Linked DNA regions of Cricetulus griseus. The protein of the gene in region 1 purifies or fractionates together with the protein of each later gene. This does not show direct contact. Links are inferred from orthologs where the notes say so. Each region holds a gene or a part of one and is shown on either strand. Other genes may lie near its edges.

The links. The genes of interacting proteins can lie anywhere in the genome.
Region 2: the proteins of Smarcc2 (region 1) and Bcl7b purify together in Homo sapiens (affinity purification with mass spectrometry; 3 studies listed by BioGRID and IntAct, counting the BioPlex papers as one, with this or other methods). This does not show direct contact. The link is inferred for Cricetulus griseus from reciprocal best matches to the Homo sapiens genes SMARCC2 and BCL7B.
Region 3: the proteins of Smarcc2 (region 1) and Bcl7a purify together in Homo sapiens (affinity purification with mass spectrometry; 4 studies listed by BioGRID and IntAct, counting the BioPlex papers as one, with this or other methods). This does not show direct contact. The link is inferred for Cricetulus griseus from reciprocal best matches to the Homo sapiens genes SMARCC2 and BCL7A.

What each region holds. Positions count from the first base shown.
Region 1 is NW_023276806.1:129,407,487-129,411,649, reverse strand, and holds the end of Smarcc2 (SWI/SNF complex subunit SMARCC2), read left to right. Parts: intron 1-257; coding exon 258-392; intron 393-1,175; coding exon 1,176-1,536; intron 1,537-1,839; coding exon 1,840-2,268; intron 2,269-2,857; coding exon 2,858-2,934; 3' UTR 2,935-3,620; downstream 3,621-4,163. UniProt on the Homo sapiens protein: Involved in transcriptional activation and repression of select genes by chromatin remodeling (alteration of DNA-nucleosome topology).
Region 2 is NC_048597.1:114,258,292-114,262,289, forward strand, and holds the end of Bcl7b (B-cell CLL/lymphoma 7 protein family member B), read left to right. Parts: intron 1-1,497; coding exon 1,498-1,668; intron 1,669-2,109; coding exon 2,110-2,189; intron 2,190-2,433; coding exon 2,434-2,526; 3' UTR 2,527-3,437; downstream 3,438-3,998. UniProt on the Homo sapiens protein: Positive regulator of apoptosis. Plays a role in the Wnt signaling pathway, negatively regulating the expression of Wnt signaling components CTNNB1 and HMGA1.
Region 3 is NC_048597.1:103,134,533-103,138,095, forward strand, and holds part of Bcl7a (B-cell CLL/lymphoma 7 protein family member A), read left to right. Parts: intron 1-627; coding exon 628-795; intron 796-3,563.

The sequences.
Region 1 (4,163 bases):
TAGATGAGTTAGTCATCTCTTTAAACTTCTAAATCGCTTACCATTGGCTGTTTCTAGCCCTTTAATGTCTTTTACTTGTCTTAGCATTTGCTGTTCTTTTTCTACATGCTTTTCATTTAAAACAGTTACAGTTACACTATTGTGAGTTGTGATCATCGATACTTCCTTCTTAAACCTGCCAGCCTCTGTCCTTCCCTCTCTCTCTGGGGTGTCTGTCACTGAGTCCTCAGGCTGACCCTGTCACACTCTTTGCCTAGCACCTGGCTGCTGTTGAAGAGAGGAAGATCAAGTCTTTGGTGGCTCTGCTGGTGGAGACCCAAATGAAGAAACTAGAGATCAAACTCCGCCATTTTGAGGAGCTGGAGACGATAATGGACCGGGAGCGAGAAGCAGTGAGTAGCATCCAGTCAGAAGTCAGCAGGAGCCTGGAGCCCTGCCAGAAACTGGGCTTAGGGGTCCTGAGGCTGACAGGACATCACAGCAGACAGGAGTAGGGCAGGGTTCCTAGCGACTTCCACAGGTGAGCCGCTAAGTAGGCTTTTTGACTGCTACATCTCTAGGTCTGGCAGCAAGCAATGCTTACCTCTTACTAGATTTTCATAAAGCTGAGTGCCTGGCCAAGTGGGCGTTGGTGGCGCACGCCTTTAATCCCAGCACTCCAGAGGCAGAGGCAAGTGGGTCTCTGTGAGTTCGAGGCCAGCCTGGTCTCTAGAGCGAGTGGCGAGTGCCAGAATAGGCTCCAAAGCTACACAGAGAAACCCTGTATCGGGGGGGGGGGGGGGGGACACTATGTGCTGGGAGATTCAGAATAAAGTCAAAATTCAAGGGGCCAGTGTATCCATGTGGGAATGCTTCCTAAGAACAGTAAGTTTTTAGCAGATTTTGAAGGAAGAAAACTTAAGTTGATAGGAACTGGAAATGAGTAATAACAGGTTCAGAGTTTTGGGATTGAAATGAACCAGAACCACACCATATCTGCTAACATGCAGTGAAGAGGGATGTGGATACCGGGAGGAGGCATGAAAAGAGTGGGATGCAGAGGACAAAGGAAGCAAGGGTTCGGTCTTGGGGAAACACCAGCTGAGAGATAGGGTCTTTGAAAAGAGAAAGTAGGCCGAGGCATTTGCCCAAGTATCTTGTGGGACCTGGTAACAGTATTCCGTCGGCACTGGCAGCTGGAGTATCAGCGGCAGCAGCTCCTGGCCGACCGACAAGCCTTCCACATGGAGCAGCTGAAGTACGCAGAGATGAGGGCCCGGCAGCAGCACTTCCAGCACATGCAGCAGCAGCAGCAGCAGCAGCAGCCAGCTCTGCCCCCAGCCGGGGCTGCCGGGCCACCCACAGCCCATGGCCTAGCCGTGGCTCCAGCAGCTGTGGCCCCTGCTCCTGCTGGCAGTGGGGCCCCTCCTGGAAGCTTGGGTCCTTCTGAACAGATCGGGCAGGCAGGGACAACTGCAGGGCCCCAGCAGCCACAAGCAGCTGGAGCCCCCCAGCCTGGGGCAGTCCCACCAGGGGTACCCCCCCCTGGACCCCATGGTGAGTATGAGTTCTGCAGTGTGTGTTGGCTGTAGAGAGCCAGCCAAACATTCTGGTTTCTTGAAGGGATGACCTGATGGGCCCAGAGATGAGTTGGTTGTAGTTTCTACAGGTGGGCGCCATTATATTCTGTCCCCAAACCAGCAGGGATTTTTCCCAAACAGATATCTGGGGTTTTATTCCAAGAATTTACCACTTATTCTAGTGTCAGGAAAAGGGGAGGTGGCACCAGCTCGTGGCTAGTGAGGCTGGAGCTGGTACGCAAGGGTTCACCTCTCACCTCTTTGTCCTCTTTGTTTCTAGGCCCCTCACCGTTCCCCAACCAACAAACTCCTCCCTCAATGATGCCAGGGGCAGTGCCAGGCAGCGGGCACCCAGGCGTGGCGGGTAATGCTCCTTTGGGTTTGCCTTTTGGCATGCCGCCTCCTCCTCCTCCTGCTGCTCCATCCATCATCCCATTTGGTAGTCTAGCTGACTCCATTAGTATTAACCTTCCCCCTCCTCCTAACCTGCATGGGCATCACCACCATCTCCCGTTTGCCCCGGGCACTATCCCCCCACCTAACCTGCCTGTGTCCATGGCGAACCCTCTACATCCTAACCTGCCGGCGACCACCACCATGCCATCTTCCTTGCCTCTCGGGCCGGGGCTCGGATCCGCCGCAGCCCAGAGCCCTGCCATTGTGGCAGCTGTTCAGGGCAACCTCCTGCCCAGTGCCAGTCCACTGCCAGGTGAGAAGGGGCCAGGAGGGGAGAAGGGTGAGGGAGAGGGTTCCACACGGTGGGAGGGAGGGCAAGCGGGGAAGGGTTAGATGCTAGGATTTCCACAACTGTTTTCAACAGTCTGGTAAAACTAGAATACAGGAGGAAGGGCCTCTCTGCCTGTCCTCCATTTCCCAATTTGGCAGCTGCCACCCCTGGGATGACGTTGGGGCCTTTCACTGGTGGGTCATGGAGGAGTCCAGTGGCACAGAGGACTTCAGCTGTAAACCTGGAAACTAGCTACCCATTTGCATGACGATGGCACTCCTTTGCTTGTTCCCACCACATTCAGATGCCCCATTTAGAGTCCTTGGGGGCAGGAGGATGGTTTGGGGTATGAGATTTTCCCAGTGTCAGGTGTTAAAGGGTATTGGGAAAAGAAGTTCCACAGAGTGGGCACCTCACTCATCTACCCGCCCACTGCATGCCACGCCCAGTTCTCTGTGTGCGCGTGTGTGCGTGCGTGCTTGCGTGCGTGCGTGCGTGCGTGCGTGCGTGGAGTCTGGGGATGGAGCCGTCTCTGCCTGCTCCAGCTCACTTGTCTTCCTTTTCTCCACAGACCCAGGCACCCCCCTGCCTCCAGACCCCACAGCTCCAAGCCCAGGCACAGTCACCCCTGTGCCACCTCCACAGTGAGGAGCCAGCCAGCCATCTCTCCCCCTCACTCCCTGTGGAGATCACAGTTCCAGGAACAGCCCTCCCCCACTACTGGGACCCTCCCTCAGCCTGGAGAGTTCGGCACTACGTAAGGAAAGCTCTTCCTGCCCCTTCACCGCCCCCACCATGCCCAGCAGAGGTGTGCAGTTTTATATCCAGTTCTTATCCACGGACTTCTGACTAAAAGATGTTTCTAATGCCTGGGAGGGAGGATAGGATGGAGATGGTGCCCTCAAAGGAAGGGCTGGGGAAAGATGCTTTTACGAGGTTCTACTAACCACTTCTGAGGGCACACCCCCTTCAGACTTACTGCATTCTTGAAGTGGATAACATGAAAACGCAGCCCTTAAAAAGGGAGGTTTTAAAAAGACACATTGGAGCCCACAAAAAAAAAAACAAAAAACATTTTTTTTTAAAGGGGGAAGGGCAGGTTTTAAGAGGAATTAAAGTTTGGGGGCAAGTTGTGGGGATGGAATAGGGTACCAAGCCTGTCTCCCCGAGCCCCTTGGTAGTACTGAGTCAGCCCCTTACCCATTCCAGTTCACGCTAACCCCTCCTGCTGCTTCGTCATTGTTGCTGTTTTAGGCCACCCCAGCTCAGCCAATGACCTTTCCCTCTGAATGTCAGCTTTGTGTTTGTTTTTAAAAAGTCACCTGCTTAGTTGATGTCAGTGTATGTGTATTTGGTGGGGAAATGTATTTTGGGGGGGATTCCGTGGTAGGTAATAGAGGAAGAAAGGGCCATGGTGAGGGCTGTTCTTCCTGCTTTCCTTGGTTGTTTCTGAGCGTTTAGAAGACATGGAAATCATTGGGAGCTCTAAGAGGATGGGCAGTCTGTAAACTCTGGAAATTTGAAAAGCACTTAAACACCTACTTTTGACAGTGGGACGGATACTCTGCTAACTTCTGCCCTCTCCTGCCAAGCCTGGCAGAACCTCACTGATAGTTAGGCGGTCCCCAAATGAGGACAGAGAGTTGGGAGCAGCGCGGCATGGCTGTGCTCCCTGGGCACCAGGGCCTCTCCACTAAAGTCTCCCTCTTCACCCTCTTTGTGAGGCAGACAAGATTCCAGGCTCTACACCAATGCTTGGTCCTCCTGCCAGGCCCTTTGATCCTCCTGTCTCAGTGTTTCTTTTCCTCTGCATCTTGGCATCTTTCTTCTGTTCAAAGTTTTCTGTAAAATTCTTTCTTTGTTCTTTTCTTTTTTTT
Region 2 (3,998 bases), on another chromosome or scaffold:
AGCTATCTCTTTGGAACTGTATGTGCAGCTACCCAGCACGTAGTTGTCCCTGCTTTCCTCCTTCCTCCCCACCAAAGTCAGTTTCACAGGGCAAGGATGTTCAGTGATCAGAACGCTCCAAGAGACAGGAGGCCTCAGCCTGGTCACCACTTCATCCCTTTGTTTGTACTTCCTGTGCCTGGCACTGGAATGTTGGGGACAAGTCTACTCCAGGAACTGCCCATACAGTGTGAGAGTAGGTGACTAGTGTATGCACAGGGCCAGTGGAAGCATCAGAGCTCATGGGATGGGAACACTGGGGCTCCACAGAGCAATCGGTGCTGTCACAGCATGCTGCAAATGTATAGAAGCTTTCAAGGGAGGCTGGAAAGAAAAGTCATACCAGCCAGCAGCAGGGAGGTCGGCAGAGATATGGTTCATGGAGCAACACTTGGTTAGCTTCCAGCTTCTGGAGCCAGGCTTTAGGTGAAAGACTGGCAGACAGTGAGGCCTAAGGGCAAAACCATCTTCTGTCTGCTCTCAGGAGTGCAGGGGCACAGAGCACTTTCCACTTCAGGACCCTTGCATGGTTGCAGTGTTCACTCTGCCCGTAGTGTGGGCCATGAGGTTCAAGGCTGTCACATTGGGCTAGGCCAGCATTAGGTCTGAACTGAGGTGCATTCAGGCAAGGAGCATGTGCACATGACCAGGACTGTGCCTGCTGGAGGCGATGCTGGAGGGGGAACTGTGGAAGCCTCAGCTTTTAATTTCCTTGGTGATCTTAAGCCTTTAGACAGAGTTGGTAATCTCTCACCCTTGGGGCAGTTGGGTGGCTGAGAGCCTGAGGTGACCACCTCCATATACCACAGCCTCCTTCAGAAGCCCTGAGGGCCAGACATGTGGTGCTACCATTCTGTATGCCATGGGCAGGCACAGATGGCACCACCACCTCCCACTGTGCAGCGAGAAGCTACCAGGCCAGAGCTGTAATTGGTAGGCAATAGAAAACATGGTTATAGAAGCAGAGCTCTCTATTCCTGGGCTAGAAATGTGTGCTCTTGTTTTGGCTGCATGTACCATATATTGTCAAGTAGAAATGCTTGGGTTGGGAATATGGCTCAGTTGGTAGAATGCTCACTCAGTACACAGGAAGCCTGGGTTTCATCCTTGGTATCACACAAACAGGTACTTGCTTCTGAGCTCAACCCTCAAGAGGTGAAGGCAGGAAGATCAGAGTTCATAGTGAGTTCAGCTCCATACGTAGTGCTTCTTGCCAAATGTGGTGAGTCACACCTGTATTTAGGACTGGGGAGGCAGAGCCAGGAGAATCAATGTAACACTGAGGCCAGCCTGGTCTATACAGTGACATCTGTCTCAAAACCATCAGCTTCGACTCTGCAGATAATTCCCAGGCTTCCTTTTTAGAGGCATCTGTATCAATGGTAACTATTGGTGGCTCTGGCTGAGCTCCTTGGATGGTGCCACCCCAGCTGTTTCTTTACTGTGTTTGGTTTTCAGATGAGAACAGCAACCAGAGCTCCATGTCTGATGTCTATCAACTCAAGGTGGACAGCAGCACCAACTCAAGCCCCAGCCCCCAGCAGAGCGAGTCTCTGAGCCCTGCACACACTTCAGACTTCCGCACTGATGACTCCCAGCCACCCACACTGGGCCAGGAGATCCTTGAGGGTGAGTTGTGGAGGTGCCTTACATAACATCTTTGGCCCTTGTTAGCTTCTGTGTTTTTGGCCTGTTACCCATAAGTCACAAAATTGAACTTGGTGTGGTGTGAATAATGTGTGCCTGCTGTTAGCCAAATGTTGTTCTAGCTCCTTCCATTTGTTTTATCTAATGTTGGAGCAGCCCACTCATAGGGCAGGGAGGCCTAGTAGGAATGGTGATATTTGGAATGGCAGGTGAGTTTTGGTTCCATGTCTGCCACCTAGGCTGGGATGGTGGTCCTCTGTGGATAAAGTCACACTTTATCCATCATACATGAGGGACACTGGCTCCTCAGCCAGGCCTGCACATGCTTCCAAGGCCCACATCCTCTTGACATGACTCTCAGGAACTCTTCCCCAGACCAAGGCCAGCCTAGACCTACCTTGAGCTAACTCGCTGCTGTTACAGAGCCATCACTGCCTGCATCTGAAGTTGCAGATGAGCCTCCCACCCTCACGAAGGAAGAGCCGGTCCCACTAGAGACACAGGTAAGAGGTCCCTGGCTTTCCCCATTTCCAAGGAAGAGAAGGAAAGACTCTAGGAATTTTGTGGATAGCACAGCTGTGCAATGGTAGGGTGCAGAGTTTGCTGGGGAAACAGTCACCGGGTTTAAAAATAGGGTCAGGGTTTGGTCACCTGTGAACAGACAGAGGATAGGCTTCATGCTGCAGTGTGGTGAATGGGCAGGGCTACTCAGGGCTGGCTCGTCATGCTCTGTCCTGCTGTTTGTAGACCACTGAGGAAGAGGAGGACTCCGGTGCCCCACCCTTGAAGCGATTCTGTGTGGACCAACCTGAAGTGCCGCAGACCACGTTGGAAAGCTAGCACCATCCTGGCCCCTCGCCTCCTGGCCCCTGCCTCTATTTATTGCATTCTGGCCTAGCCGAGCTCTGATGCTGGGGTCCAGGCAAGCACTAGGGTCCAGAGCCTTTGTGTGGGAGCCCTCTGGGCTAGAAGGCTGATGGAGGGCGTGGGGTCGTCGCATCATCTTCCTGTCCCTGACACTTGTGCCTGCTTGCTCTTGAGCAGAGGAACACTCACATCCTTTCTGCACCCCAAGTAGGCCAGAGCATCAAGGTTCATTTGCCACCTCCAGAACCACTGCACGGAGCTGCTGGCGCTGCCACGAGGAGAAAGGTGTGGAAGGCACCCTAGAGAAGAGTGCCTAGGATTACTTGAACTTGAATGGAGACTGTACAGTCATGGACTTAGCCACAGGGCCTGGGCCCTGCAGGCTGCTGCTGGAAGAGGGACTGATCGGTAGAGATGTGGAGAGCAGTGGGGAGATGCTTTCCCAGGAGGGAAGGCTGTCTGTACCTGTGGGCAGGCCACCCATGGGGGATTGCATCCTGTCCCTGAGGCAGGCCTGCCTCTGGTAGATGCCCCAGTTGCTCCCAGCCCTGTGCCTGCCAGAACCTTCCACTTCCCCCCACTCACCCACTCACCACGCACACACATGCAGCTTCCGGTTTTCACTGTCCATTGCATTCCAGCATCCCTGCCTCCAACTGCAGAAACCCCAGCCAGGATTGGAGGTTCTGACCACAGTACCTGCTTCAGCTCAGACTTTCTAGAAAGTTCCCTTTTCTTTGAAATCTGCATGTTTAATTGAACTTTATGATTTTATTTTTTGTCTGAAAAAAGAGTTTAAGAAAAAATGGAAATGGGCAACAGCAAGTGAAGACCTATTTTAGCACTGAATAGAGTATTTTTAAAATTAAACTATTTGAAGTATGTCTTGTTAGTGTCTGATTGCTTCTTTCTACAAGGTTGTGGGAACAGACTTGGGGTGGGTGTGCCCTTGTTGTGAGGTCCTTATGGGCTGACCCCGCCCACTGTCTTATTCCCATGGAATGCACTTTTTTCTTTCCTCCTCCTTTTTGTTTTTGTTTTTGTTTTTGTTTTTGGAGACAGGGTTTTTCTGTGTAGCTTTGGAACCTGTCCTGGCACTTACTCTGTAGACCAGGCTGGCCTTGAATTCACAGAGATCCACCTGCCTCTGCCTGGTCCATGGAATGCCCTTTCTGATAAAAATGGTTTGAAGACTGCCCATTTAGCAGGGTGGTGGGGGCAAATGCCTTTAATCCCAGCACTCCCTCCCAGAGGCAGAGGCAGGCGGATTTCTGTGAGTTTGAGTCCAGCCTGGTCTACAGAGCAAGTTCTAGGACAGCCAGGGCAACACAGAGAAACCCTGTCTTGAAAAACAAAACAAAACAACAACAACAAAAAAGACTGCCTGTTTGAAATTAGTGTGAGTGGTGAGTGTGATAGCAGCCTGGAACACTGGCACCCAGGAG
Region 3 (3,563 bases), on another chromosome or scaffold:
GTGTTTGTTTTCATTTCATGTTTGTTTGCCACATGTATGGAGGCAGTAGAGGGTCAGATCCTCTGGAAGTGGAGTTATGAACAGCCACATGGGTGCTGTCAGCCAAACCTGCATCCTCTGTAAGAGCAGCAAGTGCTCGTCACTGCTGAGCCATCTCTCTAGTCCTGTGTGTTCTCTTTTTTTGATAACATGCTGACTCTAATTTGTGCTGCTCATATATTTATGGGTGTGGCCCAGCCCACAGGAGCATGGTCAGCCTACCAAGGGCGACACCCTTAAAGAAAACAGACTCCCCCAGAAGAATCAAGAGCCCCTCCTTCATGCTGATATGTTGCCTGGCTTCATCCTCAAGCAGCTAAAGCTACGGTGCTTTCATGAGCCCTGTGGTCCTGTCAAGGCCAGGACCATTCTCTGTTTTGTCTGGCAGGCCCCAGACACAGGGACCTCCTTAGTTAGCCAGGGCCTGTGGGGGAGGTGTAGGGAGGAGATAATCAGACTAGCTCTGGTCAGACTCCCTGACCTCACAGGCTCGGGAAAGCTGGGCCCCCTCCCACATGTATGCATGTGTACACGCTACCCTCTCCTCAGCAGCTATAGGATATCAACCTGTGCTCTGTTCCTGTGCAGATGAAAACAGCAACCAGAGCTCCATAGCAGATGCCTCTCCCATCAAACAGGAGAACAGCAGCAACTCCAGCCCTGCCCCAGAGCCCAACGCATCTGTGCCCAGTGACGGCCCTGAAGCCAAGGCTGACGAGGCACAAGCTGATGGAAAAGAGCACCCTGTAGCTGAAGGTACTTGCTGTCCAGGGATGGGACTCAGAGGGGCTGCTGCGGGTGTTTTAAGGAGGCTTTGCTGTAGGCCAAGCCTAGACCATGAGTGTAGAAGAAAAGTAAGGCCTGGTTTGGAGCCATTAAGACAGGAGAAATCAGAGGGTGGTAGTGGCGCACGCCTTTAGTTCCAGCACTCAGGAGGCCAGCCTGGTCTACAGAGTGAGTTCCAGGACAGCCAGTGCTGTTACATAGAGAAACCCTGTCTGGGGGAAAAAACAAACAAATAAGCAAACAAATAATAAAATTAAATAGCAATCACTAGAATTAGAAAATGGGGTGACAGTCTTGTTTAATTATGAAGTTGGTTAGGAAAAGCTTTTTTGTGACATAAGTCAGGTAAAGATGTTGGGCAAGTAAACAATTCAAGAGGCTATCTGGGAGAACATTGGGCAGACAAGCAGGTGGTACAAAGGCCCTGAGGCAAAGGCAAGGTCAGTGTGGCAAGAGAAGTGAGGGATTGGAAAAGTAAGAGTCAGAGGTATGGGTGGGCTCCAAATGTGGTGAGCTCATAAGGCCACTGCTCCCTGACTTTTTTATGAGCAGTGAGACACCACCATGGGTTGATAAGACCTAAAGAACTTAGAAAATGTGATGTGGTGCTTAGGGTGGAGGTGGCAACACCTTTGTGAGATTGCAGCCATTATCTGTGAGGGAGGGTGGTAGCTAGGCTAGAACAGGAGCAGAAGGGTGATACAAGTTCTAATAACTGGTGGTGGGTGGTATAGAGCTCTAAGCCCAGCCCAATAGAGGCTGGTACAAGATGACCAGTATGAGGCCAGCCTGAGCTACAGAGCAAATCTGGGGCCAATCTTGAACAAAATGAAGAAGTTTGGGAGATGGCTCAGCAGTTAAGATGGCTGCTCTTTCAGAGGTCCTGAGTTCAATTCCCAGCATCCATATGGTGGCTCACCACCATCTCTAGTGGAATCCAATGTGCTTTTCTGGCATACAGGCATACATGCAGATAGAGCACTTATACATAAAATAAATAAATCTTAAAAAAAAAAAAAAAAAAAAAAAAAAAAAAAAAAAAGAGTATTGGTTGCTCTTACAAAGGACCCAGGTTCCAATCCCAGCTACCACAAGGTAGCTCACAACTCCAGTACCCGGGGTATACAGTCCAGTGCCCTCTTCTGGCTTCCAAGGGTACTGCATGTATGTGGTGAAAACAAACACAGAATAAAAACAATGGATAAAAGGCTAGAAATGGGGCATTGGTGGCGAACGCCTTTAATCCCAGTACTTGGGAGAAAGAGGCAGGTGGATCTCTGTGAGTGCCAGGATAGGCTCCAAAGCTACACAGAGAAACCCTGTCTCGAAAAACCAAAAACCAAAAACCAAAAAAAAAAAGGCTAGAAATGTAGGTCAATGGTAGAACTCTGACCAGGCATGCAAGGACCCTAGGCTTAACCCCCCCCACACACACACCAGAAAAGTTTCCTTATAATTGCCCTAGTGGCTTTGCTAAAGCCCTGTCCCATTTACATCTATGGGCATGACCTCTCGTCTCTCCTTGAGGGCTCTTCTAGTCAGGGCAAACCCACTAGGCTTCCCAGGATCTTGCTGGTTAGATAACACTTAAGGCAGAAGGTGGAGAGGCTGGGATGGGCCATAGCCACAGCCAAACTGCTGTTTACTACAGCATGGCCTTGGACAGACAGCATCGACTCCCATGTACCTACCTGTTTTCTTGTTTCTAGAATGGGACCGATAAAAGTGGCTTCCCTTGTCAGGGTGTCACAAGGAATAAAGGAGGTGGAGATATCAGCAAAGTGCTCAGCAAAATTCTGGGGTGGAGGAAGGGACTGGGGGTTTGGAGTGGAGTGAGCCCCCACGCCCCACTCTGTGTGGAAGGGTGTTCTGAGGTTACTAGGGCAAGTGTGATCATGTCTGGAGCTCTCTTGGCGTCATTCCTATTCTGCTGTCTGGTTACAGCCTTATTCCCCATTGGAATCTGGGTCCCATTCCCCCTAACAGGCCAGTTGAGCTCAGCTGTCTCAGCTGTAGGAGTTAATTTGGGGTGACAATTCTGTGACGCTATCTTGTATACCTCCACACCCCAACTGCACTGAATACTTCACAGGCCCAAGTGGGAATCATACCAGGATCCTCTTCCAGTCACCCCAGGCCACTGGGCTTGTACCCACCTGCCCCAGCCCTCATGCAAAGGGAATAAGCCCAGGACCCATGTGACCTCCCCACAGGTTGGTGAACTGGGAACGGGTGGGTTGGCCACCAGCTGTTGACCTTGCTTTGAACTTGTTTACTGCTGGGTAAGTTCAGGGAATGACATAATGTCCAAGCTCCCTGAGCTAAATTTAGGCTCCGGGAAAATAATTTCCCCTGGGTGCGTTCCAGAGGCACCAGGACGCTCAGAGAACAGGCTGCTGTCCTGAGCCCTGGCATGCTTTGAGCTGCACCATTGGCTCCCTCTGAACCCACAGGCCTGGCTCTCAAGGAAGCCTGGAACCTGGGCATGCCTGTGCCAGCAAACAGGCTGTGTGAACTTCAAATCTCCTGTGACTGACTGCCTAGGGAGCCTTAAACCCTCCTCCCCCTCCATCTGTAGATCCTGATGCATGCAGAAAACAAACTGGCCACAGAGGCCAAGCCACTGATAAGGCAGACTTTTTAGGTCAGTTACAAATGTGTTTTGTTAAAGAAAGCAAATAGATTATGAAATAGAATACAAAATTAATGTGGATTTTTTTTCTTCTCTCTTTTTTGTT